Pelodiscus sinensis: one gene and its partners. The protein of the gene in region 2 interacts with the protein of the main gene of each other region in a pairwise test. Links are inferred from orthologs where the notes say so. Each region holds a gene or a part of one and is shown on either strand. Other genes may lie near its edges. The genes, in order: UBE2K, TRIM39, UBE2E3 and EIF4A2.

Evidence for each region.
Region 1: the proteins of TRIM39 (region 2) and UBE2K interact in binary tests that used the Homo sapiens proteins (3 or more experiments, as listed by UniProt). The link is inferred for Pelodiscus sinensis from reciprocal best matches to the Homo sapiens genes TRIM39 and UBE2K.
Region 3: the proteins of TRIM39 (region 2) and UBE2E3 interact in binary tests that used the Homo sapiens proteins (3 or more experiments, as listed by UniProt). The link is inferred for Pelodiscus sinensis from reciprocal best matches to the Homo sapiens genes TRIM39 and UBE2E3.
Region 4: the proteins of TRIM39 (region 2) and EIF4A2 interact in binary tests that used the Homo sapiens proteins (3 or more experiments, as listed by UniProt). The two-hybrid records come from large-scale screens. The link is inferred for Pelodiscus sinensis from reciprocal best matches to the Homo sapiens genes TRIM39 and EIF4A2.

Annotation. Positions count from the first base shown.
Region 1 is NC_134715.1:92,844,508-92,851,627, reverse strand, and holds the start of UBE2K (ubiquitin-conjugating enzyme E2 K), read left to right. Parts: upstream 1-4,109; 5' UTR 4,110-4,657; coding exon 4,658-4,829; intron 4,830-4,992; exon of another isoform or gene 4,993-5,007; coding exon of another isoform or gene 5,008-5,040; intron 5,041-7,120. UniProt on the Homo sapiens protein: Accepts ubiquitin from the E1 complex and catalyzes its covalent attachment to other proteins. In vitro, in the presence or in the absence of BRCA1-BARD1 E3 ubiquitin-protein ligase complex, catalyzes the synthesis of 'Lys-48'-linked polyubiquitin chains.
Region 2 is NC_134742.1:11,322,842-11,330,444, forward strand, and holds the start of TRIM39 (E3 ubiquitin-protein ligase TRIM39), read left to right. Parts: upstream 1-4,589; 5' UTR 4,590-4,610; coding exon 4,611-4,764; intron 4,765-7,603.
Region 3 is NC_134717.1:48,105,652-48,113,237, forward strand, and holds the start of UBE2E3 (ubiquitin-conjugating enzyme E2 E3), read left to right. Parts: upstream 1-4,574; 5' UTR 4,575-4,769; coding exon 4,770-4,916; intron 4,917-5,042; exon of another isoform or gene 5,043-5,353; coding exon of another isoform or gene 5,354-5,413; intron 5,414-5,438; exon of another isoform or gene 5,439-5,583; intron 5,584-6,009; coding exon 6,010-6,212; intron 6,213-7,586. UniProt on the Homo sapiens protein: Accepts ubiquitin from the E1 complex and catalyzes its covalent attachment to other proteins. In vitro catalyzes 'Lys-11'- and 'Lys-48'-, as well as 'Lys-63'-linked polyubiquitination.
Region 4 is NC_134720.1:47,414,981-47,422,394, forward strand, and holds the start of EIF4A2 (eukaryotic initiation factor 4A-II), read right to left. Parts: upstream 3,009-7,414; 5' UTR 2,896-3,008; coding exon 2,867-2,895; intron 1,559-2,866; coding exon 1,513-1,558; intron 1,426-1,512; coding exon 1,293-1,425; intron 1,036-1,292; coding exon 896-1,035; intron 1-895. UniProt on the Homo sapiens protein: ATP-dependent RNA helicase which is a subunit of the eIF4F complex involved in cap recognition and is required for mRNA binding to ribosome.

The DNA of each region.
Region 1 (7,120 bases), on a different chromosome or scaffold from region 2:
GCCAGACCCCGGGCTCCATGTGGCGCTGCCCCAGGTGTCCCCAGGCCGTACGTAGCATTTCAAAGTGGCAGTGCTGTGTGGAGCCTGGGATCAGCTGGGGAGTTCCCAGCTGACTCCGGGCTCAGTGCGACACTGCCGCATTGAAATGCCGCGGGGAGCCTGATGTCAGGCTCCTTGCAGCATTTCATTTCAAAGCGGCAGCACCACATTGAGCCCAGGATCAACTGTGGACTCCCCTGCTGACCTTGGGCTCTGTGTGGCACTGCCACTTTGAAATGCCACATGGTGTTTCAAAGCAGCAGCGCTGCATGGAGGCTGGGGTCAGTGGGGGAGTCCCCCCCTTCTGACCGTAGGCTCCACGCAATGCTTTCACCTTTGAAGTGTAGCAACAGCCCTATGGCTGTTGCTACACTTCAAAGACGGAGGCATCCTATATCAACTAATCAAATAGTCAATGCAAAATGCCTGATAATTAACATCCTTATCATAAACTGTCTGAGTCAGTTCTAAAGAAACCATTCTCTGTGGCACCATTGAGACTATAGGTAATTATTCTCTAATTGTCAGGATACAACATTCACATTGTGCATCATCCAGGAATTGACATATCTGTCCTTGGCTTCTTATACTACCAGAAGAGCTGTGAATTTATTCATTTCTTGGGAGACTTTAATGCCCATGTGAACAACACTTCTAAGAGTGTGATTACACCTTAGCTGGGTTATCCTCCAAATGTATCAATTTATGTTGATATTATCACAACGGTGTGGCCTACTTTTCTTTCATCAATATGGCCACTGCCTCAGCTCTTGCTCCAGCCCCTTTGCTGGCACATTATCTGGCTACACCATAGTTCACCTTTTCTGAGGTCTAGTTCCAAAGTACTATTGTCCACTGGGCAGGTATGTTGAGCCTTCACTTGATCTTTCCAGAGTCTTGTCGTAGAACGAGTAAACAAAATAAAGGTTTCTTTGGGGATACCAGCTCCCTTCAAAAATATGGGCTAAGAGCTCCCAAAGTCCCTCTTTCTTAGGGTTATTTAGGCAAAACAGGCACGTTTTCAGGACATGGTTGTTTTTGCAAAGGGAACTACAGCTGTGGTCACCAACCAGTTGATCACGACCAGTCGATCGCAAGGTGTTCTGGACCCTCCATTTTCCCCCACCCCCAAGAAGCCCCACTACCTACCTCGAGCAACAATGGAGGTAGTGGCAGCTTCCCACGGGGAGGACAGAAGTCCTAAAGCTGCGCATCACTTCCGAGCGTTCCAGAAATGCGCTAGCTGCTTCCTTGCCCCAGCTCCCTGGTGCTCCAGAAACTTACTGGGTAAGTCCCCAGAGGTGTGTGCTGGGACTTCCCTTCTCTGCGGGAGGGGGAGTCAGGCCCGGAGGAGGCGCGTAACGGAGGCTTCCCTTCTCCGTGTGTGTGGGGGTGTGTGTGTCGGCCCTGAGGGGTCGCATACGTGGGTTTCCCTGCTCTGCGGGGGGGGGGGTGTCCGGCGGAGGCACTCGATGGGGCATCCTTCCTCCGCCGGGGGGGGGGGGGGAGAGTGTCGGCCCTAGAGGGAGCACGCAACGGAGGCTTCCCTCTGAGGCTGGTGTAGGGGACTCCCTGTCCCCACTGGCACCCTGCCCCTGAACCCAGTTCCCTCTCCCCTGCCCCCGAACCTTGTCTCCTGCCACAGAACCTTGTCCCTGCCCTACCGCCCCCGTTCCTTCTCCCCTGCCTCCAGCCACAGAACTCTGTCCCTCCTGCCCCCCTGCTGCAGAAACCTGTCCTGCCTCTGCAGAAACCTGCCCCCCTGCAGAAATCAGTCCCCACTGGCACCTTGCCCCCTACTGCAGAAACCTGTCCCCCATTGCAGAAACCTTCCCCCGCTGGCACTCTGCTCCCTGCTGCAGAAACCCTCTGCCCTGAGCCCCTCACATACCCCAACCCAAATTCCTGCACCCTCACATCCACAAGCCAGTGGCTTGCTTAGTACCCCAACTCTGCCCAGCCTAGACCCCCCACCCCAAGCCAGTGTCCCCTTCTCCACCTCCTCCTGCATCCAGATTTCCTCCCAGAGCTTGCACCTCTCACCCCTTCCCGCACCCAAATCCCTCATTTCCACCCCAAAGCCTATACATCCTGTCTCAACCCGGTGGGGGTACAGCTGGACTGCAGGAGTTTTTCAGGATTCTGGAGATATCCCAGAAACACTCTTCTGCATCCAGGGATGCGTTTGTTAAGAACGTAAGAACAGCCGTACTGGGTCAGACCAAAGGTCCATCTAGCCCAGTATCCTATCTGCCGACTGTGGCCAGCACCAGGTGTCCCAGAGAGAGTGGACCGAAGACAAATCAAGCAATTTGTCTCCTGCCATCCCTCTCCAGCCTCTTACAAACAGAGGCCAAGGACACCATTTTATCCCCTGGCTAATAGCCTTTTATGGACCTAACCTCCATGAATTATCTAACTTCTCTTTAAACTCTATTATAGTCCTAGCCTTCACAGCCTCCTCTGGCAAGGAGTTCCACAGGTTGACTACACACTGTGTGAAGAAGAACTTTCTTTTATTATTTTAAACCTGCTCCCCATTAATTTCATTTGGTGTCCTCTAGTTCTTCTATTTAGGGAACTAATAAATAACTTTTCTTTATCGGCCCTCTCCACACCACTCATGATTTTATATACCTCTATCATATCCCCCCTCGGTCTCCTCTTTTCTAAACTGAAAAGTCCCAGTCTCTTTAACCTCTCCTCATATGGGACCCGTTCCAAACCCCTAATCATTTTAGTTGCCCTTTTCTGAACCCTTTCCAAGGCCAAAATATCTTTTTTGAGGTGAGGAGATCACATCTGTACACAGTATTCAAGATGTGGGCGTACCATAGTTTTATACAGGGGCAGTAAGATATTCTGGGTCTTATTTTCTAACCCTTTCCTAATAATTCCTAGAATCCTATTTGCCTTTCTGACTGCCGCTGCACACTGTGTAGAAATTTTCAGAGAACTGTCCACGATAACTCCAATATCTCTTTCCTGATTTGTCGTAGCCAAATTAGCCCCCATCATACTGTACATATAGTTGGGGTTATTTTTCCCGATGTGCATTACTTTACACTTATCCACATTAAATTTCATTTGCCGTTTTGTTGCCCAATCACTCAGTTTGGTGAGATCTTCTTGGAGTCCCTCACAGTCTGCTTCTGTCTTGACTATCCTAAACAGTTTGGTATGATCTGTAAACTTTACCACCTCACTGCTTTTACCCCTTTCTCCAGATCATTTATGAATTAGTTGAAAAGGATTGGTCCCAGGACTGATCGTTGGGGACACCACTAGTTACCCCTCTCCATCCTGAAAATTTATCATTTATTCCTACCCTTTGTTTCCTGTCTTTTAACCAGTTCTCAATCCAAGAAAGGACCTTCCCTCTTATCCCATGGCCATGTAATTTACACAAGAGCCTTTGGTGAGGGACCTTGTCAAAGGCTTTCTGAAAATCTAAGTATATATCTACTGGATCCCCCTTGTCCGCATGTTTGTTAACCCCTTCAAAGAACTCTAATAGATTAGTAAAACAGGATTTCCCTTTACAGAAAATATGTTGACTTTTGTCCAACAAATTATGTTCTTCTACATGCTTCACAAATTTATTCTTTACTATTGTTTCGACTAATTTCTTCTGCTTTTTTAGTGGAAGAGCACACATGATCTTTTGGTCACCCCTATATTCCTCTTTCCATGAGGAATAAAGGGCCTTTCAAAAGAAAGGGTTTTTCTGACATTTGGTCCAGTCTAGACAGGGCAAATGTTGGAAAACCCTCTTCCTACAGAAGAATTAAAACAAAACAAACAAACTAGCAGTATAAAGATTGGGGATAGCAAGGGATGGAGAGGAGGAGAATAGAGAGGGCGGGGCTTTAAGGAAGGGGCGGGGCGGTAGCTCTTGGCTTGGTGTGTAAAAAGGCTGGAGACTACTGAACTACAGGCTTCCCCCGCTCCCTGGAAAGGCCCACACATCAGTCCTACTCCTTCCAGCGAGCGGCCACCAGGGGTCAGGCATGTCCGCGAGCTCTGGTTGGAAGGAGCCCGTTAGCAGCCCGGCTCCCTGGCGCTCGCGCGCGCTGTTCGGAGGCTGAGGCGCTGAATGGCCCTTCCGCTTTCCTCGCTGCTGCAGCCTCTCGAGTTCTGCCGCCCCAACTCCAGCCGCCAGGGGAGAGCCCAGAGCCCGCCCGGCCCCGCTCCGCCGGGCTCTGAGGGAGGCGCGTTTCACCCGGCGCTTGTTAACCCGTCGCTTGCTGAGGCGAGCGCTGAGCGACACGTGCGTGTAACAACACGCCGACCGTGCGGATGACACAGCTGCTTCATCACAACCCAGCGGCCCTAGCTCTGCCCGGCTGGCGGGTGAGGGGTGTCACCGCAGGGACCTCGCGCTGTGCGTGTGCAGGAAAGCGGCTCCTCCCGTGACAGGCCGGGTGGCGGGTGTCGCTTACGGAGCGGCGGCGCAGCAGGGCGTTACCCGTCCCGCCGAGCCAGTGGGACAGTCCCGCGCAGCCCCTTCCCCCCAGCGCGGACCCGCCAGCTCAGGGGCCGCTCTGCTCCCTGCATCGGCTGCCCACACACACACCGTGCTGGCCCCGCCTGAGAGGCGCCGGGGGCCGCACCGCGCATGCTCGACGCGGGCGCCATTTTGGTGGGGCCGGGAATTATCCAGCGGGAGCGGCGGAGCTCGCTGGGCCCGGCTCGGAGGCAGCGGCGTGTGGCTGCCGGCTGCAGAGATGGCCAACATCGCGGTGCAGAGGATCAAGCGGGAGTTCAAGGAGGTGCTGAAGAGCGAGGAGGTCAGAGACTCCCCCCGGCCCTGGCGGTGTGCGGGGCGCCCGACAGTCCCTCCTTCTCCTCCCGCGGCTGGGGGAGGGTCTGTCCCAGCCTCTCGGCTGAGGGGGAGGGTAACGGCGGCTCCTGAGGATGAGGGACCCAGCAGCGGGGACGGGGAGCCTGGGCCCGCTCCGGCAGCGGATGATTCTCGGCGCGGGGGCAGGCCTGCAAGGGGTAGGAAGTGTGGCCGGGCAGCGAGCGAGATGCCTGGACAAGGCCGGGAAACCCCCGGGAAAAGCGCCGCCTCCACCACCCAGTCTGGTTTGGTCGGCCCAAAAAGAAGGCTCAGGGGAGCCTAATAACGGGGCGGGCCGCGCGCGTGTGTGGGGAGGTGTCGTCTCCGGGGTCCCCTGCCCACGGATACAGCGGGAGATTCCTCTATTTTACGGCTGGGGCACTGGGGAGAGGCTTTCCCATGCGACCTAAATGGAGATGGGGCAAAGACAGGATGGGTAAGAACACACGTCCCATTTCATCCAGCTCCCTCGTTAGCCTGTGGCTTATACTGCAGAGTGATACATTGTGTGTGTGGTTTTTTTTTAAATAAAAGCCCATTTAACTAGATTTCCTTAATCCAAGGCTTCCTTTTACCCCCAACATAGGTTATGTCACCTTGGTGTGCATATCTTTAACCCTCTCTCCACCTGACATCCCGGTGCCCTATTAATCATTCTTGATACATTCCCTGTAAGGGATGTACAGTAATTAAGGAAAGGAGGAAGTGATAAAGAACTTTAAGTGTATTTCCAGGGACTATAGAATAGCATTTACAGTGATTGTGTCAGAGTTATTTTCGCTGTCTGTAAATCTGTGTTGGTAAATGTCAGCGAGATAGGTTTTGATGTTTGTGTCATCACCATCATACTCATGAGGATGATGAGGCATGTTGTATGCTTGTGAAATATTAATGTGCAGTTTGACTCTGAAAACCGATGATTTTAGACACTGTACCAGTCAGCTAGATTCATAGTCAGAAAACCAAGATGCTACTAACTTCCTGAGGATTTGTGTTGCTTACAGAAAACATGTTTAGAATTGGTCTAGTTGATGTCCTTCTGAATATAATGTGCTAACGGCATTATTGTTACACAGCTCAAAATAAACTATTCTCCACAAAATCTTAGAGCTTAATTTCTACAGCTATTATGCATGTGATGCTCAAGTTGATTTCAATGTGAGTTCCAGTGTGTAATGATTACAGAACCCAAATACTAAATTAGAACAGATCCTGAATGGTCAGCTGTGTATTTATATGCTAAAATTAGAATATCCCAAAGTGTTTACTTTCTCTGAACAATACATCTTAAAGTTGACTGCTTAGACCTTTATATAAGAGAGCACTCCAAATTTCCCCCTTGTGTTATTTAGAAAGAGAAACCTTGCCATATGCATCAGTGATATAAACATGGTTAGATCTTTTAATTTTCTTAAGACAAGTTTGGGACTCAGGGAGCAATTTTGTTTTAAATTCCTGTTTAATATATGTGCCGGAGATTTTGATTACATTGAAGATAAAAAAGAAATTACTTTGTTTGGGTGAACTGAATTTGTGAATTTTGAGACAACCCTTACTCTTGGCAGGATTCCTGCATCTTGTAAATTAAATATTAAAGAGCATTATCCCCCCATCCCCTCCCAGGATTCAGCTATTTCTATCAGTACATATATAATTACTGTTTATATTACAGGCTTTCATGGGTATTCGGAATACATACTTCTTTGATGTAATTGTGGATGTTTATTACAATGACACACTGATTCTAGATACATGTATTGGGAATACCTTGACTTGATTTTTTTCAAAGTCCGATTAAACTTTTTTCCAGCGGTAGTGTGAAAACATTCAGTATGAGATGTACAGAGGTATGACTAGATATTTTTGTACTTTGGCAATCTGAATTCACAACTTTATCAAGAAAAATTGATTGTCACAAATTATATAGCTAAAATGTGTTTTAATTTAAAATTTGTCTTGCATCAAGGAAAAGTTGCTGATCTTATCTACTCTTAAACATTCTTGGAGTGATGTCTCAAGCCATAGCTGAACATAAAAGCTGGCAATCTGTTTCCCTGCAAATGCCACCAAATGGCATTTGCTACCATATTGCATTTTGGAGAGAGAACGTACAGAGTTTGCCATTTACATTCTTCCAAAAGTGCATTCTGGACTTAGCTAAGTGGGAACCAGCCAAATGCAGTTTTAGAAGAGGATGGAAGAGGGGCAGATCAACAACTTCTGCAATTCAGAGATTTT
Region 2 (7,603 bases):
GCCAAAACAACAAATCTACATGCCTCTGCCGCCAGAGGCATGTAGTTTAGACATACCCTAAGAGTAGCTCTTGAGCCCTCTCTGAACTGCGCGCCTGCGCAGTACATTTACCTTAGATTTCCTCATTTGAGGAGCAGCTACTCACTGAGCAACAGCACAGATGAGTAGCTGCGAGAAATGGTGGGGATTTAATTTTTGAAAGTAGCAGTATAAGGATTGGGGGTAGCAAGTGATGGAGAGGAGGAGAATAGAGAGGACGGGGCTTCAAGGAAGGGGCGGGGCGGTAGATCTTGGCTTGGTCTATCATTTAAAAAGTGATCTTGGGTGTAAAAAGGTTGGAGACCACTGTTATAGACTAACTGAAGTGTAGGAGCATAAGCTTTCGTGGGCAAAGACCCACTTCGTCAGATGCATGCATCTGACGAAGTGGGTCTTTGCCCACGAAAGCGTATGCTCCTACACTTCAGTTAGTCTAGAAGGTGCCACAGGACTCCTCGCCGCTTTTGCAGATTCAGACTAACACGGCGACCCCTCTGATACTGAACCTGGGGTATGTGTACCCCTAGGGGCCACGAGAAGCTTGTCAAGGGGGTACAGGGAATATTTGGTAAATAATTAGATCATCCTAACTGAAATATTCCCAAAGTAGTAGTGTGAGTGAAAAAAGTTGTGGATTCTAGAGTCTAGAATTTATTTCCTTTCATATTGAATAGGGGGTACGGGAAGGTTTACTAAAAGCCAAGGGGGGACGGGGACCGAAAAAGGTTGGGAACCCCTGCTCTACTTGGTACGCCCCCCCATGGAGGGGGGGATATGCATTTGGTACCTTCCACAATGGGGTGGGTATGAATGTGGTTCCTTTTGTAATATAATAGGTGGTCTGGGCTTTGCTGAAAGGGGCAGATCGGGGCACATTGCTTAGAACCAGGGCTACTTATAGCCCAAGACTGGGGCCCTCCTCTATAAGGCACCAATCCGCCCTTCAGCTACCACTCTGGCCAGCTAGGAGTTGCAGAAGCAAATCTCTCTGTTCTTCCCCTTTTTTTGATCTGGAGTTCAAGGCCGACCGCGCTCTCCTTCTCTGCTTGTGTAACCTCGGGGAGGGGGGGGGGCGCTAGACGTCACTGCCCATCTCCAGTGTCTAGAAAACCCCCCAGCTCCCATAGAAAGTAGCTGGAGACCCAGAATTCAGCCTATCAGGAATTTCAGCAAGGATGGTCCCGTGTCACGCCTCCCCACATTCTAGTCCCAAAAGAAACGAAAGAAATGAGTTTCATGAAACAACGTCATAAAAGCTCACGCTGAAGGGACAAATAAGAATCGAAGTTTTACAACAGAACCCACAGACCTCGGCTTCACGGTTACAACCACCATCAAGAGAAAACCAAAAGTAAAAGGTCCTGATCCAAAGCTCAGTAGACCTGGTTCTGCGGATCCAAGCATGACTACACCACTGTAATATAAACAGGTGGTCTGGGGGCACCATTGAGAGGGTCAAATCAGGGTGAGTTGTTTCGAACCAGGGCCATTACAGCCCAAGATTGGGGTCCTCTTCTATAAGGCACCAAACCGGTAGCTGGCATTCTGGCCAGCAAGAAGTTCCACAAGCAAACCCCTTCGACACTCCAGCTTTACCTGGGGAGGGGGAGCAGTTGCTCCTGGGCGCCACATTAAGGGGGCACTACTTTATTCCCCCTCTACTCCCCCTGTCATCCCTCAGCTCGCCTGCTCCTCCTCCACCCACTTCTCCTAGGGCCGGGCTCAGCCGTGCGCCAGGTTCGGGGCCCCGCCACCCAGCGACGATGGGAAGCAGAGAGGGTGCAAATTTTGCTTTTGCCCCTGGGCACATACTACCCTCGCTACACCTCTGCTGGTCCCACAGTCCCAGGACAATTTATACCTCAGACTTTACCCAAAAGAGCGTGCTGGGCCAATCCTTTAAAACCTAAAATCGAAAGGTTTATTAATAAAAGGAAAAGGTTGGAAGCAGAATTGTTAAAGCCCATTTCATACATTAAGTAGCAAATGCTTGCTGCAGGGTCTTAGCAGAGATGTTAACAAACTGCCAGATAAACGTCGCTGGAGTACAGCCTATGTTAGAATACATCAACGCTTCTTCCTGGCTCTCTGTCCATAGCAAAAACGCTTCTGTAGTCAAGAGCAGGAGTGAAGACAAAGATGGAGGCACCCCCTGGGTACTTTTATAATCTTGTCCATGCGGAGGGAAATCCATCGTTCTCCTGAGTACCTCTGAAAATGGAGCTGATCACATGATTACCGTGTCCTTTTTAGGCAAGGAGCCATGGAGTATCCAGGTATGTCCTCCTTAAGCGAGGGGCCATTGTGTGTTCCTTGGGTGTCAAATGGCCACCCTTAAGAGCCGTTGTCCATGCAACATTCACTGGGTCACCACCCCTCACAACAGGGGTACGTCTACACTACATGGCTCCGTCAACGGAGCCATGTAGGTTTGTTTATTGGGCAAAGGGAAATGAAGCCGTGATTTAAATAATCGTGGCTTCATTTAAATTTACATGGCCGCCGCGCTGAGCCGACAAACAGCTGATCAGCTGTTTGTCGGCTCAGCGCGCTAGTCTGGATGCTCCCCTGCCGACATCAAAGCCCTTTGTCGGCAGCCCCGGTAAACCTCATCCCACGAGGAATAACGGGGCTGCCGACGAAGGGCTTTGATGTCGGCAGGGGAGCGTCCAGACTAGCGCGCTGAGTGGACAAACAGCTGATCAGCTGTTTGTCGGCTCAGCGGGGCAGCCATGTAAATTTAAATGAAGCCGCGATTATTTAAATCGCCGCTTCATTTCCCTTTGCCTACAACCCTCATCTACATGGCTCTGTCGATGGAGCCATGTAGTCTAGACACAGCCTAAGTGGGCAGTGCCGCCTTTTGTCTCCCAGACAGAAAACATGCACAATATAAGCAGGGTGACCATCCCATGTGTACCCTGTCAGTCCCTTATTCAAGACCTCCTCCTCCCGGCCTCCCAACTTTTTTAAAAAAACGGGCACATTGTCCCGTGTTTCCCCTGTGGGGGAGGCGGGGAGCCCGCTAGCACTCAGGGCTTCAGCCACTGGAGCCCCAAGCACTGGCACCTCCCCTCCCCACTCTGGGGGTGAACTTCATCCCTGCAGTGGGGCAGGATGGGTGGGGAGCTGCCTGCATTGCGTCAAGTGCCAGCGGCTGCCCCCCTGCCCTCTGCAGGGCTGAAGCCTGGAGGACTAGCAGCTCCCCCCCCCCCCCCCGCCAGCAGGCCTAAAGCCTCAAGAGCCAGCAAGGCCCCCGCCGTGGTGTCCCGTATTGCGCATAGGGAAATATGGCCACCCTGAATACAAGCACCGAGCCCATATGCATAACCTCGCGCACCGAGATGGCACGCGAGCAGCACAGACAAAGTCAGCTGAGCACCAGCTTTCATTAGACACCCCACGCGGCCCACCCGGCACAGAGCGAGGGGCAAACACGCCAGTGGGCGCAGCAATGAACTGCACGTGCCTTTTAAAATCCAACCACATGACACCTTCCAAGGGGGCGGGGCATGATATTGGTACATTCCACAAGAGGGGTTATGAATTTGGTACATTCCACAAAGGGGGGGTATGAAACTGGCATGGTTCACAAAGGGGATTGGTGAATTTGATACATGCCACAAAGGGGGAGGAGGTATGAATTTGGTACAGTCCACAAAAGGGGGGGGGGTATGAAATTGGCACGGTCCACAAAGGGGATTGGTGAATTTGGTACACTCCACAAAAGGGGGGGTATGAAATTGGCACGGTCCACAAAGGGGGTTGGTGAATTTGGTACAGTCCACAAAAGGGGGGGATGAAATTGGCACGGTCCAGAAAAGAGGTTGGTGAATTTGGTACATGCCACAAAGGGGAGGGGGGGGTATGAATTTGGTACATGCCACAAAGGGGGGGGGTATGAATTTGGTACATGCCACAAAGGGGGGGAGGTGTGAATTTGGTACATTCCACAAAGGGGGGGAGGTGTGAATTTGGTACATGCCACAAAGGGGGGGAGGTGTGAATTTGGTACATGCAACAAAGGGGGGAGGTGTGAATTTGGTACATTCCACAAAGGGGGGGAGGTGTGAATTTGGTACATGCCACAAAGGGGGGGAGGTATGAATTTGGTACATTCCACAAAGGGGGGGAGGTGTGAATTTGGTACATGCCACAAAGGGGGGGAGGTGTGAATTTGGTACATGCCACAAAGGGGGGGAGGTGTGAATTTGGTACATTCCACAAAGGGGGGGAGGTGTGAATTTGGTACATTCCACAAAGGGGGGGGGGGTATGAATTTGGCATATGTAGATTGCCACGAAGGGGGTCGGAGTCGCGTGTCTTTCACAAACTAGAGCTTGGTACAGCCCAATGCAATCGGGCGATTTGGTACAATCCACAGACGGGGCGTTGGAGGTGAATTTGCTGCGCTCCACACTGGGACGCGCTTGGTACATTCCACAAACGGCGGTTGGGGGGGAGGGGGAGTCCTCATTTCCGGTCGGGGCAGACCCGTCTCCTGCTTCTCAACGTCAACTTCCGGAGGCGGGTGCCCAACGTCACTTCCGGTGAGGTCAGCACCCTGCGACATGCCAACGGCCGGAAGCCCGGTGCTTCTCCTCCCCCGTTTCCGGCTCGTTTCCGGGGGGCGGCCCCGAGTGTCTAGTGTCGTCACTTCCGCCCTGGGCCCGGACCGGGGCAGCCCTGGGCTCCTTTCTCCCCGCCGGGAGGAGGCGGGCGGAGGTGAGTCCGGGGCGGGGAATTTCTGTGTGACCCACCGTAATTATCCCCGCCCCTCCCCCCACGCCGGGGAGAGAGACACCCCCTGTCAAGGGAGAGACCCCCCGCCCCTCCCCCCACCGGCCCCCTCCCCGTGTCCCAGGAGACCCCCCCCCAGCAGAGACTCTCCTGCCCCCCCCCAGCAGAGACTCTCCTGCCCCCCCCCCCAGTGGGCATCACGGATTTGTTGCTGCCAAAGCAAAGTCCCCCCCCCCCCTTGCCCCCCCTTTCACACAGCCCGGCTGTGAGGATTCACCCCCCCCCCCCCGCATCTCCCTCCCCCCCCATAGCAGGCTCGAGCTGTAACACCCCCCTAGGGCCCGCGGCGCTCCGCCTGTGCGGAGGGTGTTGCGCCTCTCGGGCGTCACATGTGCCCGGCGTACCCCCAGGCGTCACCTCACTGACACATGCCTGATGCAGGGACTCGGACATAAAAAGACAGACACGTCACAGCCCCTTGGACCGCAACACGGCGGCCGGCTTTGTGTTTGCTGTCGAATAAGCTGCAACGGAGACCCGTGCTGATGAGTCTCATCCCTGTCCTACAATTGTAATGTCAACCAAAGGGCACCTAAATACTAGCTTTCTGTTTCAGTGATAGCCTATAGAGCTGTGTGAACAAGTCGTGTGACAGCTTAGGTTGTGCTGACTTCACTAGTGCTTTTTATGGAGCCGGTAGTAAAAATCAGACAAATGTCTAGATGACTTGTACTTCCTGGAAGATCTTTGCATAGTCCTAAGGGTAGTGTATTCATGAATGAGAATGACTGGTCTAGGTGGCCTTGTTTCTTCTGATTTCACTTAGCTTGCGTGCCTCTCCCAGATTCTGCTTATAGCTGCCCTTCAATCACTTGAATGGAAATCAAATTCTTAAAAATCTGTTTTGGTAACACCCATTTAATTCAAATGCCCAATTAACAGGTAGGAGAGAAGTTCTGTGTTACAGGTTGGTCACTCAGTGTAAATCAGCCTTAATAGACATTCGGGGGGGAAATTGGGGTAAAAAAGATCAGGATTTCTAAATAAAGTTACTGTCTTTTGCCCTGCTTAACTCTCTTTTGGGGCTGCCTTCATCATAAAGAAGCTGTTTTAAGTAGTGATATAAAAGGTTAACCAGTTACCCGGTAAGCATTTCTTACCAGAATGCTTACCAGGTAGCAATTGGACAGCCAACCGTGCCAGGCTGTAGCAGCCCTGGCTGAGGCCGACCGACCATGTGGGGGTGGTAGGCAGGGCCACGCCTGCATCAGGCCAGTAGGACTCTAGCTGCATGGGCGTGATAAACAGGGCCCCAGCGGCTCCAATTCGACCCAGGTAATCTGACAGGATAGGCAGGTGGGACTCTGTGGCTGTCCTGGGCTGGCAGATGGTGCCCGCTCTGGGGCAGACCAGGTAGACCGGCAGGACTCTACCTCAGTGGTGGGGTGGTCAGGCAGGGTCCCCGCCACTCTCACTTGGCCTGGGCGCATGCATGGGAACCCATTTCCAGCTTCCTGACAGTGGTTAACCATTAACCGTTATAATTTTAGTTGTTTAAATTGTTATTTACAACCCTCGTTTTAACAATGGACAGAAACCTGGTTCATTTTGTCCTTCCCTGGTAGCTTCAGAATCTTTATATAACGAATTACCTCAAGAGAGGAAGCATAGTCCAATGGGTAGAGCACTGGACTGAGAATCCGAACTCAGGTAGCCTGCTCCTAGCTTTGCTGTTGACTTTGGACAAGTCACGTTCCCTGGCTGTACCTCCGTTTCGCCTCCTGTCCTGTCTAGTTAAACTGTAAGCTCTTCCAGTCAAGAACTGACTCTTACAATCTATTTGGAGGGAGTGGGGGGCTGATCTCTTGGTGTTACAAGATGAATAAATAAATGCCCTCAGTGGCATTAATGTAAGCAGGAAATTGTGAGCAGCCTCAGGCAGGGGCCTCTTGTGTGGTTTTTCTCTGTACAGTGCTTAAGGCCTTTATTTTTAATAGGCCACCTGACAGGGAAATAATAAGCCTACCAGGATTTAGACAAAGGGACCTCAAAAAGTCATCCAGTCTGGCCCCCTGTGCTGAGGCAGGACCGAGTAAACCAAGACCATCCCTGCACAGGGTTTGTCCTGGCAGGTCATGAAAGCCTCCAACCACTGAGACTCCACAATCTTTGCTAGAAGCCATTCCAGAACTGAATTGCCCTCCTCCTTAGGTTTTCCTAATATCTAATCCAAATCTCCCTTGAAGCAGAACCCAGTTAACTCTTGTCCTTTCTTCAGAGGACAGAGAGAGCAGCTGATCACGTTTATCTTTATAGCAACCCTCAACATCTTTGAAAACTATCCGCACAGCTCCCTTCTATTTTCTCTCCTCAAGGCTGAACAGACGGAGTATTTTTTTAACCTTTCCTCTCAGGTCAGGTTGTCAGAACCCTTCATCCTTTTAATTGTCCTCTTCTGAACCCTCTTTCAACTAGTGCATGTCCTTCCCAAAATGTGATGCCCAGAATTATTCCCAGTCCTCCACCTCAGGAGAGCGGGACAGTCACCTACCACGTCTTACATATGACACTCATGTTAACACAAGTTGAACCTCTCTAAACTGGGGCTCTCTAGACCACAGATGTTCCGGGATGAGAAGGTTAGTGGCTAGGAGCCCTACAAGCCAGCAGGACAATGGGTTGCTGACAGCAAAGTTGCCCGGCATGGGGCCGTGGGAGCAGTGGGGAAGAGGGGGTCATTTCTGGTCCTTCTGCCTTTCCTTGATCTAGTAAAATCTCTCAACGGGGACCAATCAGGTCCTGAGGGTGCCGGACCGGGGAGGTC
Region 3 (7,586 bases), on a different chromosome or scaffold from region 2:
TTAGTTAATTCGAACTAGTGCATCTAGACCTAAAAACTAGTTTGAATTAGGATTTTGCTAATTCGAACTAGCATGTCCAGATTGACTGGACCCTGAACCGAAGTTAAGGCTGGCCGGAAGCAGTGCCGGCAGGGCATCAGGTTAGGACTTAGAGCATGGAGTTGCTGTCTCAGGCTATCCAAGGGCTGTGCTTAAAGGGACCCGACCCCCACCCCGGACAGACAGTTCTCATGGTTCCCTGCTTGCTTGTCTACCTCGATGAGGGACAGCAAAGCAGTCCTGGCTTGGAATGCCCTGAGTGCCCACACTCGGCACATCACAGCACTCGGCCATCAGCCCGGCTGCACTTGCCGCAGGCTGCCATCTGGAGGTGCCAATCGGGGGGCTGCAGAAGTGTTTCCACCCCGAGGAGCCCGCAGAGCCACCCCAGTTCTCCCCATCGGGGGCTCGTACCCCATTCCTCCTTCCACTTACCCGTCCCTAGCCCCCCTTCTTGATGTACAAAATAAAGGACACATGTGGTCAAAAATAGAAACTCTCTTTATTTAACAAAACTGGGGGAAACTGGGAAAAGGAGGTGGGAGAGGGGAAGAGAGAGGGTGGGAGAGGGGAGGGGGAAACCTGGGACGAGGGAGCTGGAAGGGGGAAGCCAAGGGAAGAAGGAGGAGGGGAAGTATCAAACTATGGTACGCCATATCTTCAGTACTGTGTACAGATGTGATCTCCTCACCCCAGAAAAGATGTTTTGGCCTTGGAAAGGGTTCCGAAAAGGGCAACTAAAATGATCAGGGGTTTGGAACAGGTCCCATATGAAGAGAGGCTAAAGAGACTGGGACTTTTCAGCTTAGAAAAGAGGAGACTGAGGGGGGATAGGATAGAGGTCTATAAAATCATGAGTGGTGTGGAGAGGGTGCATAAAGAAATGTTCTTCATTAGTTCCCATAATAGAAGGACTAGAGGACACCAAATGAAATGAATGGGTAGCAGGCTTCAAACTAATAACAGAAAGTTCTTCTTCTCAAAGAAAATAGTCAACCTGTGGAACTCCTTGCTGCAGGAGGCTGTGAAGGCTAGAACTAGAACAGAGTTTAAAGAGAAGTTAGATAAATTCATGGAGGTTGGGTCCATGGAGTGCTATTAGCCAGGGGGGTAGAAATGGTGTCCCTGGCCTCTGTTTGTGGAAGGCTGGAGATGGATGGCACAAGACAAATGGCTTGGTCATTGTCTTCGGTCCATCCCCTCCAGGGTAGCTGGTGTTGGTCGCTGTCAGCAGACAGGCTACTGGACTAGATGGACCTTTGGTCTGACCCAGTACATCCATTCCTATGTTCTTATGTTCTAAGCTCAGGGCTCAGGGTTGGGGGTCTCACTGGACCATGATTTTCATGCAAACCTGCTCCTGGGTGGCCAGGCTGGCAGCTATCCTGCCCTACACAACCACTTTCCTGTGCCTAATGCGGAGGTCGTGGACGTTGGACGCCTCCCCCCAAACCTGGATGAGGTCCACGATCTCTGCACTAGACCAGGCGGGCGCCCGCCTCTTGGTCTGGGCTGCTGGCTGGGTGCTGGCAGGCTTGCAACTGGCACGAGCACCGTAGCCAGACCGTGCCCTTTTAAGGGCTCCTGGGCCGGGTGGGTGGCAGACAAGTTTCCCTGGTTGTGCCCAGAGTGGCCACCAGGGCAAGCTCGGAAGGGCTAGCCTCCCACTAGTTCAAATTAAGTGGCTACACAGCCCTTAATTTGAACTAAATTCGAACTAGGTGTTAGTCCTCGTAGAATGAGGTTTACCTAGTTCGAATTAAGCACTCCGCTAGTTCGAATTAAGTACAAACTAGCGATTTGCCTGTGTAGCGCTTATGAAAGTTAATTTGAACTTACGGCTGTTAGTTTGAATTAACGTTGTAGTGTAGACATACCCTAGGAGACTACGGGTCTGTCTCCCAGAGCCTCTTGGAGTTTAGTATCCTGTTCCAGTATAGGCTGTAGCTCATTGATAATGTGTTGGGGGCTGTAGGTGATGACAAGTGGTGTTCTATTGTTGGTTTTCTTGGGTCTGTCTTGAAGTAGATGGTTTCTAGGTATTCGTCTCGCTCTTTCAATTTGCTTTTTTATTTTTCCAGGTGGGTAGTTGAGGTTTATAAATGCTTGGTAGAGATCCTGAAGTTTCTGGTCTCTGTCAGTGGGATTAGAGCAGATGCGGTTGTATCGAAGGGCTTGGCTATAGACAATGGATCGTATGGTGTGTTCTGGATGGGAGCTGGAGACATGTAAGTAACTGTATGAGTCGGTGGGTTTTCTGTAGAAAGTGGTGTCTAATTTTCCATTGGTGATTTGTACTGTGGTGTCCAGGAAATGGATCTCTTCTGTAAAATGGTCCAGGCTGAGATTGATGGTGCAGTGTAGGTTGTTAAAATCTCTGTGGAATGTCTCCAGTGTTTCTTGGCCATGCGTCCAGATCATAAAGATGTCATCGATGTAGCGTAAGTAGAGAAGGGGTTAAAGGGGATGGGAGTTGAGGAAATGTTGTTCTGAGTCAGCCACAAAGTTATTAGCGTACTGTGGGGCCATGCGTGTACCCATGGCTGTGCTGCTGATCTGGAGGTATAAGTTGTTCCCAAATGGAAGTAATTGTGGGTGAGAACAGAGTTACATAGGTCTGCTGTCAGATTGGCAGTGGTGTCCTCTGGGATAGTATTTCTAATTGCTTGTAATCTGTCTTCATGTGGGATGTTGGTGTATAGAACTTCTACGTCCATGGTGGCAAGGATGGTGTTATTGGGGAGGTTATCAATGTTTTGTATTTTCCTTAGGAAGTCAGTAGTATCTCGGAGATAGCTGGGGGTGTTGGTTGCGTGGGGTTTGAGAAGAGAGTCTACATAGCTGGATAAACTAGTAGTGAGTGTGCCGATACCTGAGATGATGGGATGTCCGGAGTATCCAGGTTTTATGGATTTTGGGAAGCAAATAGAACAATCCTGGTCGGGGGTCAGAAGGTGTTTCTGTGTGGATTTGTTCCTGAGTAGCTGTAGGGAGGCTTTTAAGGAGACAGTGTAGTTTCTTTTGGTATTCCGAGGTGGGATCAGAGGAGAGAGGTTTGTAAAATGTGGTGTTGGAGAGTTGTCTGGTTGCCTCCTGGTTTAAAGTTTAAACAAAGACATTAATTATCTTACCCATTACAAAGATAGCTTCCCCAATTATCACCTCTAATATCATTAGCTCACAGACATTCACCTTCCCCCTCCTCCCCATCCCTGTTCTGTTCTGAAATTTGATTTGTCCTTTTCATATGTCTTTATTTTTTTAAATTGTATCCTTTGGTATATATGATTGTGACAATTTTCTTCCACTATTTGATCTGAGGAAGTGGGTCTAGCCCACGAAAGCTCATCACCTAATAAACCATCTTGTTAGTCTTTAAAGTGCTACATAGTCCCGTTTTTTGTTTCAGCTACACCAGACTAACGGCTACATTTCTATCTCTCTAAAAATGTTTTTCCTGACGGGTGACAGAATGATGTTATCACACTCTCACGTTCTTGGGCCATGGAAGCGGACTGAGAGGGGCTTGGTAAGTGAAGCAAACACAAGGAGCAGCCCCCTAGTTATTATTTATTTATTATTATTATTATTACTAGTGATAGTAAGATAGTAGCAGCACTTCTTGTCTATTTTGATGGCACAGATTCTGGGTATGTGGCCATTATTTGTCAGAATTGAGACTGATCTACATGCCAGATCAGTTTCTATCGGACATCAAGATCTGGAATTTTAAGAGTGGCTAAACATCTTTTCTATTTATGCATTTTTAATTTCAGGCCTGGGGGTCCAAAAATTGGCTAGGTTCAGAAGGATCTGGATATTTGAGGTGATCTTGTGCTGGGGCACATGAATGAGGGCCCAGATTTTGCTTGTGCAGCAAGAAAGGTTGAACATGTTACCCACTGAGGAGTGGGATTTGGTGCTGGGACAAAAACTGGCAGGATTCAACTTTCACTCATAATCGCTATGCTGTATGTTAAGGCACTCACAACCCAACTCAGCCACGACCAGTGCCCAGATTAAGTATATTTACTCCTGAGTGACCACCCTTATGGACAGCAGTAAGAAGAGACAGAAAGAATGGGCAAAAGCAGAGCTACTTTCAAATCAGTTTCCTTGCTTTGGCTATGCCCCAGCAGGCTTTTGCACACTTGTGCATGGCACTGAAGTAATTTCAGGATCTCAGGCTCCCCCTCCCGTAGTGACTGCTCCAGAGTTGCAAGCTTGCGAGAAAGGTATTTGTATGGGAGGAGGGGGGAGGCAGGAGAGAAACCAGCCACTAGTAAGACACAAGCAAAGGCCAAGCGACCAACCTGGGGGGTGCACAGGGACCAACTCTTTGTCCTTGGCCAGCACGGGAGAACGCACGCACCCTGCAAAGGTAGAAGAGCGAGAGAGCGTGCGCGTGCCCCAGCCGGGGGGGCGGGGGGGTGTTACCAGTCAGGGAGCGAGCGCCCTCTCCCCCCGCCCTCATGTCGTTTGGAACTTTGCTGACTGCAACATTCTGAATCCGAACGTAGCGACACAAGGGGGCGGAGGCGATAGAACGCTCGGCTCTTCTCTTCCATCCGGCGCCCTTCCCCCGAGGGGAAGATCGCGTTCTCTCTCCTCTTACCCCCTGCCCCACCGTGGGAGCCCGCTTTGCAAAAAGGGGACACGCCAGCACCACCCTAAGGCCATCAAGCCGCACTGCATCCTCCCCCCGTCTCTCCCCCCTGCTCCGACTCTCAATGTTCCACACTGCCCGGCCACAGAGCCTCCTCTGCTGCTTTATATCCCCCCGGCTTCCTCCAGCCCCTCCACAGATACCATATCCCCTTCCCTTCCCCCCTCCATCCCTCCCCTCCGACCTAACACCGGGACAGGACGCCTGCAAGGTAAAGGAGAAGCGGGTTAGGTGGCTGCAGCAGGAGCCTGGGCGAGCTTGGTGGGGGGAGGAGGAGAAGGAGGAGGCGGGGGGGGGGGGAGGTTGGTAGAGGGAGCTTTGTTCTTGTTTTCAGCGCTTGCTGCCTGTCGGTGGCCGGGAGAGAGAGGAGCCGGGACTGAGTTCACGCCTCACTTGGTGCACACATACCATGCTGATCCTGGAGAGCCTCCTACCATAACAACCCCTCCATACCCTCCTCGCTGGGAGCTCGATCTCGCCCCACAAAGCCAGCCCGAGCAGGGGGGAGGGGGGGCGGGGGCGAGTGTGTGTGCAAAGCTGCATTTCAACCCTACTGCAGTTTCCTACTAGGAGCTTCATTTTCTTTTTCAGCACCCCTCCTCCAATTTGGGTGCCTCCCGCGTGTGTCTATATATTTTTCCCCTAAAAATGTCGGTGTGTTTTGTAGAAACTGATCAAGAATCGGTGGCGTTGAAAGCTTTGCAGAAGGTGCAGTTTTAATTATGCTTCTTCCCCCTCCAGCAGCTTTGTGGTAGCAAAATGCAATTCTTGCTGCTGGTCATGTAAATAACCGAGGCTTCTGCTTTCTGGGTTGTTTTAAATGTATAGTGTTTTTTAAACACCTCCTCCTCACGGCCCTTTAAATACAAAGCGACAGAGTGAGTGTAAATTTCAATCTGAAATCAGTTGGAGTGTTGTTACTGTCAATATATTGTCTCAGAGAGGGGGGTAATTTGGCTGCTCGGACCTAATAAAATGCTCTGCTCCAGTGTAAATATTTGCAGGGTATTAGTGACTTTTTAAACAACATTTTTAGCAAGGTCTGTTATTTACAATGTGTCATAAGTTATTAATGTTCATTGCTTGCAGGACCCTTCTAAAACCCCTGTCCCATGGCTTTGAACAAAGTAAACAATTGATATATTGTCTAAAGTATGAAAAAATGTAGCTGGGCTTTAAAAAACTGGAGCTTTCTATATTTAAAAAGTGTAAATATTACTTTGTAACTGTCAAACTGCAACCTAAAGTGAACTCTGCTTTTCTATTCTTCCCACCCCCTTTTCCTTTGTCCCTCTTTCCCAAAGTTCACCACGATGTCCAGTGATAGGCAAAGGTCAGATGATGAAAGTCCAAGTACCAGCAGTGGTAGTTCAGATGCAGATCAAAGGGACCCACCAGCACCAGAACCTGAAGAACAAGAAGAAAGGAAACCTTCTGCAACCCAGCAGAAGAAAAATACCAAACTATCCAGCAAAACTACTGCTAAGTTATCTACTAGTGCTAAAAGGTAATAACTATAAGAGTGACTGAGAGACATATTTGCACTATATTTTTAATGCAGATGAAAGCTGTGTTAGGGAGTCATTTACTGAATTACAAACTTTTTTGAGTTATGAGATTTTCATTCAATAGCTTCAATAATGATACTGTCAGTAAGCTAACCTTTAAATAAGCTTCTCACATTTCTTTGGGAGAGATGCTTAAGAACATTATAACTTGTAAAATGAAAATACTGGCTTCTAAAAGCTTTTATTCACCAATATGAATTTTATCCTTGCAAGTAATATAAGAATTAGAAACATCGTTTCCACCTGCGTTCAAAAGATTAGCCTTTTCTTTCTTGGTAGAGTACCATCCTTAGGGTATATTTCGATAGATTGTGTGTACTGTTCACACAATCAGTTTTATTGAATATAAAAATATTTATAAAAATGTTATTGGCACAGAAATAGATGGGTTTGTACTTATAACTTTGTTTGCATGCCAACATACAGTACATCCTTTATGCATCCTAATATAACATGTTATTCTGCAAAAATAACCAACTTCAGTGGGACATTTGCTTCACTAGGGCCTGGAAAATCACTCTGGAGATGAATATATCCCCTCTATATTTAAGTGTCAAAAGCTTCACAAACCTCTTGTAGTCTATTTGATAAAATGTCTGTATTTACAATGTATGTTAGACTGGCTTTCAGTAGGTATACACGGAAGCGTTTTTTTAACTTCAGCCATGTGAAACAGGCAGACTTTTAATCCTTTCATATGCAAGGGTCTTCTGAGATGAAACAATTTGCTAAACCTTACATTCATTTTTTTTTTAGGAATACATATTACATTATAGCCAATAGCAAATAGATCTGAAAAGTAACAGTGGAAAAACATATTTTAACTTTAGAGTCAGTTCTCTACTGCACAACTATGTGTTTTGCTTATTCAGCATGGCTCAAACTTTTATAAAGACCTGAGAGAGGAGTTGGTATTCCAGTTCCCTGAATGTTAAAGCATTAGCCATACAGTAAATACTACCTATTTTCCACTGATTTTGTACTTGTAAAGAAATAGAGCTCCAAAATAATAGTATCTAAGTTAGATACTTTAAATTAGTCCTGCTCTATCAGTGAAATGGGTCAACCTAGCTCCATTGCTCAGGTGCCAGACTGTGAAAATTTCTGCACCATGTGACTTTGTTAGGTCAGCAGGAGAACTTCTCCATCTCCTTAGCTACCTCTTCTTGAGGAGATCGATTTACTGCACTGACAGATACCCTTATTTTGTCACTGTGGTAAGAGTGTATACTTGCCACGCTGCAATGGTACCATTTGTAGTGTGGGCATCCCTCAGAAAAGAAGCTAAAGTGTTATATTATTTTTATAACTTG
Region 4 (7,414 bases), on a different chromosome or scaffold from region 2:
AATGAGAGATATCCACTAAACTGACTAATCTAGCACCATAATTTTTCCTCAATATCTTTTAGACTTTGATCAATTTGGGGTTTAGAATCATCTTTGGACAACTATCCAAGCATAGCAAAACTCTGATCTTTGATCTGAGGAAGCCAAAGATATCCTCACTTGAGTGCTAAGCAAATTTTTTGTGCTGTATAAAATGGTCTGCAATTTGGTTTTAAGATTGCTATTTATACTTTCACTTGTATCACTAAACCATGAATCAATGGATTCTTAGAACCATTTAACATTGAATCCTGTAATTTTAATCTGGAGAACCACGAAACAGCTCCACTTTAAGATGAATAAATTACTTGAATCTTTTGAGGGTGAAGTAAACATGCGAGGAAGCATGGGACAGACACCACAAGACAATGATCATATGTGCACTGCAGTTTTCATGTTGCACAACTGCACACTCAAATGCATTGTTTCCACTCAGAACATATTGCTTATTTAAATATTTTTACCCCGCCTTTCCATTTAAAATATTCAAGGCGGCTTACAAAAACAATAAAAAAATACAAATATTAAAAAATTTACCACTTTATCATATCATTTTTAAGATTTCACCATTTGCTGGGAGATGCCCATTCAGAACTACACAGCATATCAGCTGTTACCTGCACCATGTCCCAGCATCATCTCCCGAAGTCACATCTTAACTCCCTCTTTACGTGGATAGGGAAAACCTAAAACAGAAGCTAGTCTGTTTCCCCATTACACTCAAAGCAACAAGGATTCTGAATGGATATTACAGTTACAGATTCCTTTAAAAAGATCTGTTAACTGTCCTTCACAGTTGTGAAACCCGAAACCTATGCAACGCGCAAGCAGCTTTTTTTAACTACACTATCAATACCTGTTGAGCCAGTTCTCTGGTAGGGGCCAATACTAGTGCTTGGGTCTCCTTGAGATCAATCTCCAATTGCTGCAGGATGGAAATAGCAAATGTGGCTGTCTTGCCAGTACCTGACTGAGCTTGAGCAATCACATCATACCCTAAAAAAAGTAGGATATATATTTACTCCTCCCACAAGTAATTCATATTTAGTTTAATTCTATTCCTTTTGAAGTAAGTGATCAGCAATTAAGACCTCTCCATTCATCTCCCTTTTTCAAGCAAGAATTAAAAGTAGTATGCCATCACCACACTTAAATACAAGTGCATAAAGTACATACATTTAAAAAAGACCTATTTTCTAACATGTATATCTGCTATTGATGACCAGACATAAAATTTTTTTGTGCTTGCCTACCTTTAATACATGGAATAATAGCTCTCTGCTGAATAGCTGAAGGCTTTTCAAAACCATAAGCATAAATACCCCTGAGAAGGGATTCTTTTAAATTCATATCATCAAAATTGTCAACAATTTCATTCCAATTGCTCTGTAAGAAGGAAAAGAGGCAGATTATTACTCTATTACCTATGCCCATACTGAATTTGGGTCTAAAGGCTATTATGCTGCTGCTCACCTCAATGACACCATCAGGGTCCATTCCCTCTGGGCCGCCATGGTCTCTGTTGCCAAAAAAGCAGGCTGTTAACACTCTTTGCAGCTAACAAATGCCATGTAGGACAGGATCTCTATATCTTGGATACCACTAATCATCTAATAAACCATCTTGTTAGTCTTTAAAGTGCTACATTGTCCTGCATTTTGCTCGGATACCACTAGCATTTCTCACTCCATTAGAACTTAAACCAGTGATTGATTGATTATGCTAGCAAATGCTTTAGCATTTTGCCAGCCTGGAAACTACATCTCCTTTGCACCTCATTCATATGTATGCCATTACCCCAAGTCTCCACTGTCGCCCGCAGCCAGGGGCTGCCCTGTGCAGGTTTTTTCCTACTGGTATTACTAAAGCGAGATTCATGCTGATTGCACACATTGACTGAGACCGCCATACACTCCCTCTGCATTCATCTGAGGCACTGCTATGGTTTGAGGGATACACCCTGCAAATTACAGACACATACGAAATTAGCAAAACTATCCTATCCCAGGAAACTGTCTTGGTTCCAATAATCTTGCAGCCCCCACGGAGATGGAGGGCCAATCATAGGCTTAGGCTGCCCATCGCTGGTGTAAGATCACCTATATATTTCTAGGCGCGGCACACCCCAAAGGGCAGTACGGCACGCAGAGCTAGCAGGCCCCAACGTGCAGCACCTCCCTCGCCGCGGAAGCGGCACGTGGCAGAGGGTGCGCCCCCCCCCCCCCCCAGCACTCTCACCCTAATGGCGGGATCTGCTCTGAGCGCTGCAGCACCCGCCTGGCGAGGGTGGAGGCAAGAGCGGCCCGCGCCTGGGCCAGCTCGTCTGTAGAACCCAGAGCAAAGAGTTTCCCGCGGCACCCCGCCTTGCTCAGCCACCACCGGCCAACTCTCGCGAGAGCTCCACCCACCCCCGGGGATTGCGCAAATCCGACTCACTACGCAGGCGGAGGAACGCGCCCGGAGGGCCGCGCCCCTCCCCCTCTGCGTGAAAATGAACTCGCCCGAAGCCGGGTTCAGGAAGCGCCGGAATGAACCAAAAGGGGCGGGAGAAGGGGTTGCAAGCCGAAACGCCATGGCCGGCTTCCTTCGAAGTCGAATGAGGTCGGGCCACAGGAGTGGGGGTTGTGGAGAGGCGGGTCCCCGCAACGGACAAGCTGCGGGAAGAACTGGCCGATCAGACGAGCGCGAGAGGGACCCACCGGGGCTGGCACTTCCCACCAACGGCAGCGAGCCGACATCGCACACGCTTCCTCCTCCCCCGCCTTCCTTTTAAAATCACCTCAGAACGAAAACAAGACACGAACTCGCCCCCCAAACCCAGGAATACCTGCTATAATCCGTAGTACCACCTGACATGTTCCGGTCTCCAGCCCCCACGTCTGTTCTGCCCTCAACTGAAAAGGCAGCGCCTTCCCGGCGCCGGCTTTATATAGCCATCCAGCTGCCGGAACTCGTTCCGCCCTTCACAGCGGAGGCATATGTCTATCGTCACACAGCCCGAGCCATATACATGCCCCGTTTAGAGTTTACCTGTGTCACGGATAGCCCCACGACCACGGAGTATGATATTTCTCGTGGGGTTCGTGAGGCTGCAACGGCCAAAAGATCGGGCGGAGATGGGGACTCTTTTGTGTGACGCGAAGGCGGAAGGATATTGCAGCAGTTGGCGCTGTGACAGTGTCTCACTCCTTCCTCATCCTGCTCGTGCCCCCACCGCTTGAGCACGGGGTTTCTTTGGCCGCCCGTGCTGCAGACAGCCTCAGAGCGGGAGGGGGAGGAGAGCGAGAGTGGGGGAGGGGGGAAAGAGGAGCGGGGTAGCTGAGTCCTAGAGAAAGGGGCAAAGAAAGAGGAAGGGAGCTGGGGGTGGAGGGTATGTGGGTCCCAGGAGGAGAGGGGGAAAGTGGCACTTGCTGAGAAGGATTAATGGGTCAAAGCCTGAGCATCAGCAGTGGGGAAAGCCCACATGACAGGATTTTATCACCAGTCTTATAATGCTGGTGCCAAGCCCGAGCTCCAGGAGTCATGGGATTATGGGAGACTCTAGGCATTCATTTATCTCCCTCCTCCCACCCACCAAAGTCTACCCCTTGTGGGGAAAGGCTGGAAAACCATCCTCTGAAAGTCTTCAAAATGAGACCAGCAGCCAAAGAACCCCAAAAAGAATTGAAAGAAAAAAAAATCTTTTGATATTTTTAAATCAATCTTGTGGTGTCTTTGGGGTGGGTTGATTGATAGTTTTGAATGCATGGCTTTGGCAATACTGGAGCAAGACAAGGGGAAGGAGAAGCTGTAGAACCCCGTGTGGAAGCATCTCAGAGAACAAATTGCAGGGGAAATGGGGTAGTGAGTTTCAGCTGGCCTGACCAGTTCAGTATATCCCAATTAATGTAATATATGTTATAATCTGCATCTGTTGTGTAAGGTAATATTAGAAAACCCCCTGACAGACTGATTCCTGCATCGCTTATGTGTGTGAGACCTAAATGACTACACAAATATGAAAGAAATATGGGACTAAAATGTGTTTGGACCAGAAAAGTCTGGGAAAGTTGGCAAACATGTTTTTTCCAAGCAAAGGAAAAGCTGATGGCTCCATCCAAGTTCAGTTGCAGACATTTGGCAGACATTGACATAACAGAGGTTGGAGGAACCCATCAATTTGTATTATAGAAAGCACCAGTGGGAAAGAATCCAGCATGGAACCTCTCCATTAGATTAATTGCACTTTTCTTTGAGAAAGATACATTTCTAAAGTTCACTGGACTGTAAAAGAGAGGGGCAAAGAATCCCAAGTTATCTTTCGCATAGGAAGAAAAGCAAAGTCCTGTAGTTCCGTAAAAGGCCCTGACAAAGAGAAAATCAACTATGTCTGGAAAGAAGAAACATGGGTAAGAAATCTACCTTGAACAAAGATTGTAGTTTAAGTTTTCATCTCTAGAAAGCTTATTTTGCTTTTATTTTCTTGTAATCGTTTCTTTATCTCTTGTAATTGAACTCACATAAGACCTATCACTTTTTTATTACATTTTGTTACATAATCTAACTCAGCCCAGAATTAGGGTTGCCAACATTCCTGACCAGACAGATTAGATGCCATTCATGGCAATGGCATCTGGTCTGTCCTACTGGAAAAGCTGACAACCTTAATTTGAACTGAAGTGGTTATTAGTTCTAGGTAAAATAATGAGTTGTGCTTTTGTTTCTTTAAAGGAAAACAAATCTTATTGCTTCTGAGTATTCCAGGAGAGGGCTGGATACTTTTGGGACAGTTTGGGGAAATTTCAGAACTTGGTGTGTGTTGGGGTTAACCTGAAAGTAGTAAACAACGCAGATTGAGACCAGTGTAGGGTTGTGGTAGTGTAGGCTGGCTGCTGGAGTTCTAGCACACAGATACTCAGGAAACTGCATGCTTACCTGCTGACTGTGGGTGTTCAGGCTGTGAGTCACAGCACTTGGGGTTACAGGACAAGTGGTGGCAACCTCTTACTGGTCTGGGTTGAACGGCAAAAGGTCACACTGGCACAATTAGATTTCTAGTTAGAGCTAATGGACTCTTAGATAAAGCTAAAAGATAGTGAACACGCCATTTCTTTCTGTTTAGTTAGATAAATCCAAATATACAGAGTGTACCTTTATGTTGTAAGGAAACCACAAAACTGTATATTTTAATGTTACTAGCAGGCTGTGCCCCATGCTCACTACGCTTGCCAACCCCTCCTCTTTCTGACTGCTTTCATGGCCTGAGAGTGAAATAATGTCATTCTGTCACCTGGCATGAAAAACATTTTATATAGAAAGAGATAATGAGGACTAAAAATCCATAGGTAAATGGGAAGATTTCTGTGGAAGGCAGGAGGTGCAAGGAACTAAGTCATCATTTTATGCATAATTTAATTTGTAATTAAAAAAAAATGATTCCAGGCAATAATCAGAACCTTTGTGTCTGCCTTTACCTCGTGTGCCTTAAACTTTCCTGATAACTAAACTTCTTTGAAAGCTCATGCACTGGCTATATTTTGAAAAATAGGTGTAAATAAGCAAAGTTATTAATTTTGAATATGGATAGTTATGTTCTAGTTTTGCTCCTATGAGAGCACTTGACCCAATCCACTTCCAACTGATGTCAGAGTGTTTTTTTTCCTATTGATTTCAGGGAGAGCAGGATTTGGCAGCATGGCTCCAACATGCGCAGACCCATACACTAGCTATTTGCATGACTATTTTGATTTATTATATGATTTGGTGATTTATTTCTCATTTGAACGGAGCACCATTGGACTCAACTACCTTTTGGTACATTCATAGGTGTAATATACCCAGGGAAGTTGGCTACAGTAGTTTGGTGGAGGGTAGCTGGGTGAATGGTTTTCTGTTGTCTAAATAAACTGCCAGAGACTGCAGGCAGGCACTTGAGTCTATTTAAGAGATTGCCTGAAGTAGCAAACTAAGTGGGCACCTGCAGCAAATTAAGGCCTGCTGGGCTATTTTAAAAGGATTCTTCCGCAGGTAAGGGAGGGGGAAGGAGAAGAGTGGAGGACTGAGAGGAGGAAGGGGGTGGCTAGAGAGTACAAAACAGTGAGAATATTTGGGTTGAAGCAGGAAAGATTTGCTCAGGTATCAGTGGAGCGTTTGGGGAAATAGCCCAGGGAAAAGGCTGCTATATTGGTGGTAGGGGGAAAAACCCTGAGGCTATGTCTACACTCGTGGCTTCTTATGTGAGAAATATGCAAATGAGGCTAAGTGTAGAATATTGTGGAGCCTCATTTGCATATTTAATGAGCCACCATTTTTAGAGGCTATTGCGCCAGAAGGAGCTGTCTACACTGCCCCTTCTTGCACAAGAAAAATCCTCTTGCACAATGCCATTACGCCGATTATTTTCAGGAATAACTGCATTGCGCAAGAGGGTTTTTCTTGCACAAGAAGGAGCAGTGTAGACAATTCCTTCTGGAGCAAAAGCCTCTTATGCAAAAATGGTGGCTCATTAGGTATGCAAATGAGGCTCGGTGATATTCCACGCTTAGCTTAATTTGCATATTTCTTGCAAGAAGCCGCGAGTGTAGACATAGCCTGACAATGGCTGCTATGTAGGATCCCTGGGCTGGAGCCTGGAGTAGTGGGCAGGCAGGCCCGGGTTCCCCCAAACCTCCGCAAACTACTAAAAAAAGTCTGTTCCTGGGTAAAGGAGGCCAGGATTAGAAGAGGGATTCCTCCCATTTCTTTGACTGCCAATGATGAGAATGGTTCAGTAAGCTGTGACTCTGGCCTCAAGCAAAGATAAAAGGCAGTGTGGAGGACCACAGCGAGCCTCTGAGGCATACAATAACTGCCTAGACATGCAGGATCCATGGGGATCCATGGGGGCCAGAGCATTGCCACATAGGTTATAAGGTCCCTGTAGACTGCAAGCAGCCACAAGCATAAGATATTTGCTATGGTTGTTCTTGGCATGTATACATAGGCAACAGGTGCCTGGAAGGGAGGGGCTGCAGGGAGGGCCATGCAGAGGAACAGGGAGGGGGCATGAAGGGTCACCCAAGTTAGCCATTAGAATTTTGATGGGGGCATAGGAGATCAGTGCACCTCTAAGTGCTGTCATGAGTCACCTATGCATACATTACCTACAGATGATGTAGTCCTTAATTTTTCAGATGCCTACCTGTTTGCAGTAAAATCCTAAAATGAATGAGTCGGTGAGAACTTCCAGAGAATGAAAACAGTCTTTCTCACTACATCAGCTTGGATGGTCATTGCTGTCCACAGATGTATCCTGAGCTTTTTATGATGGGACTACAAGGCTAGATTTATAAAACAAACAAACTCTCTGTTCCCTTCTCAAAGAAACCCTCTTTGTCAGAAAGATATGTAGCGGGGA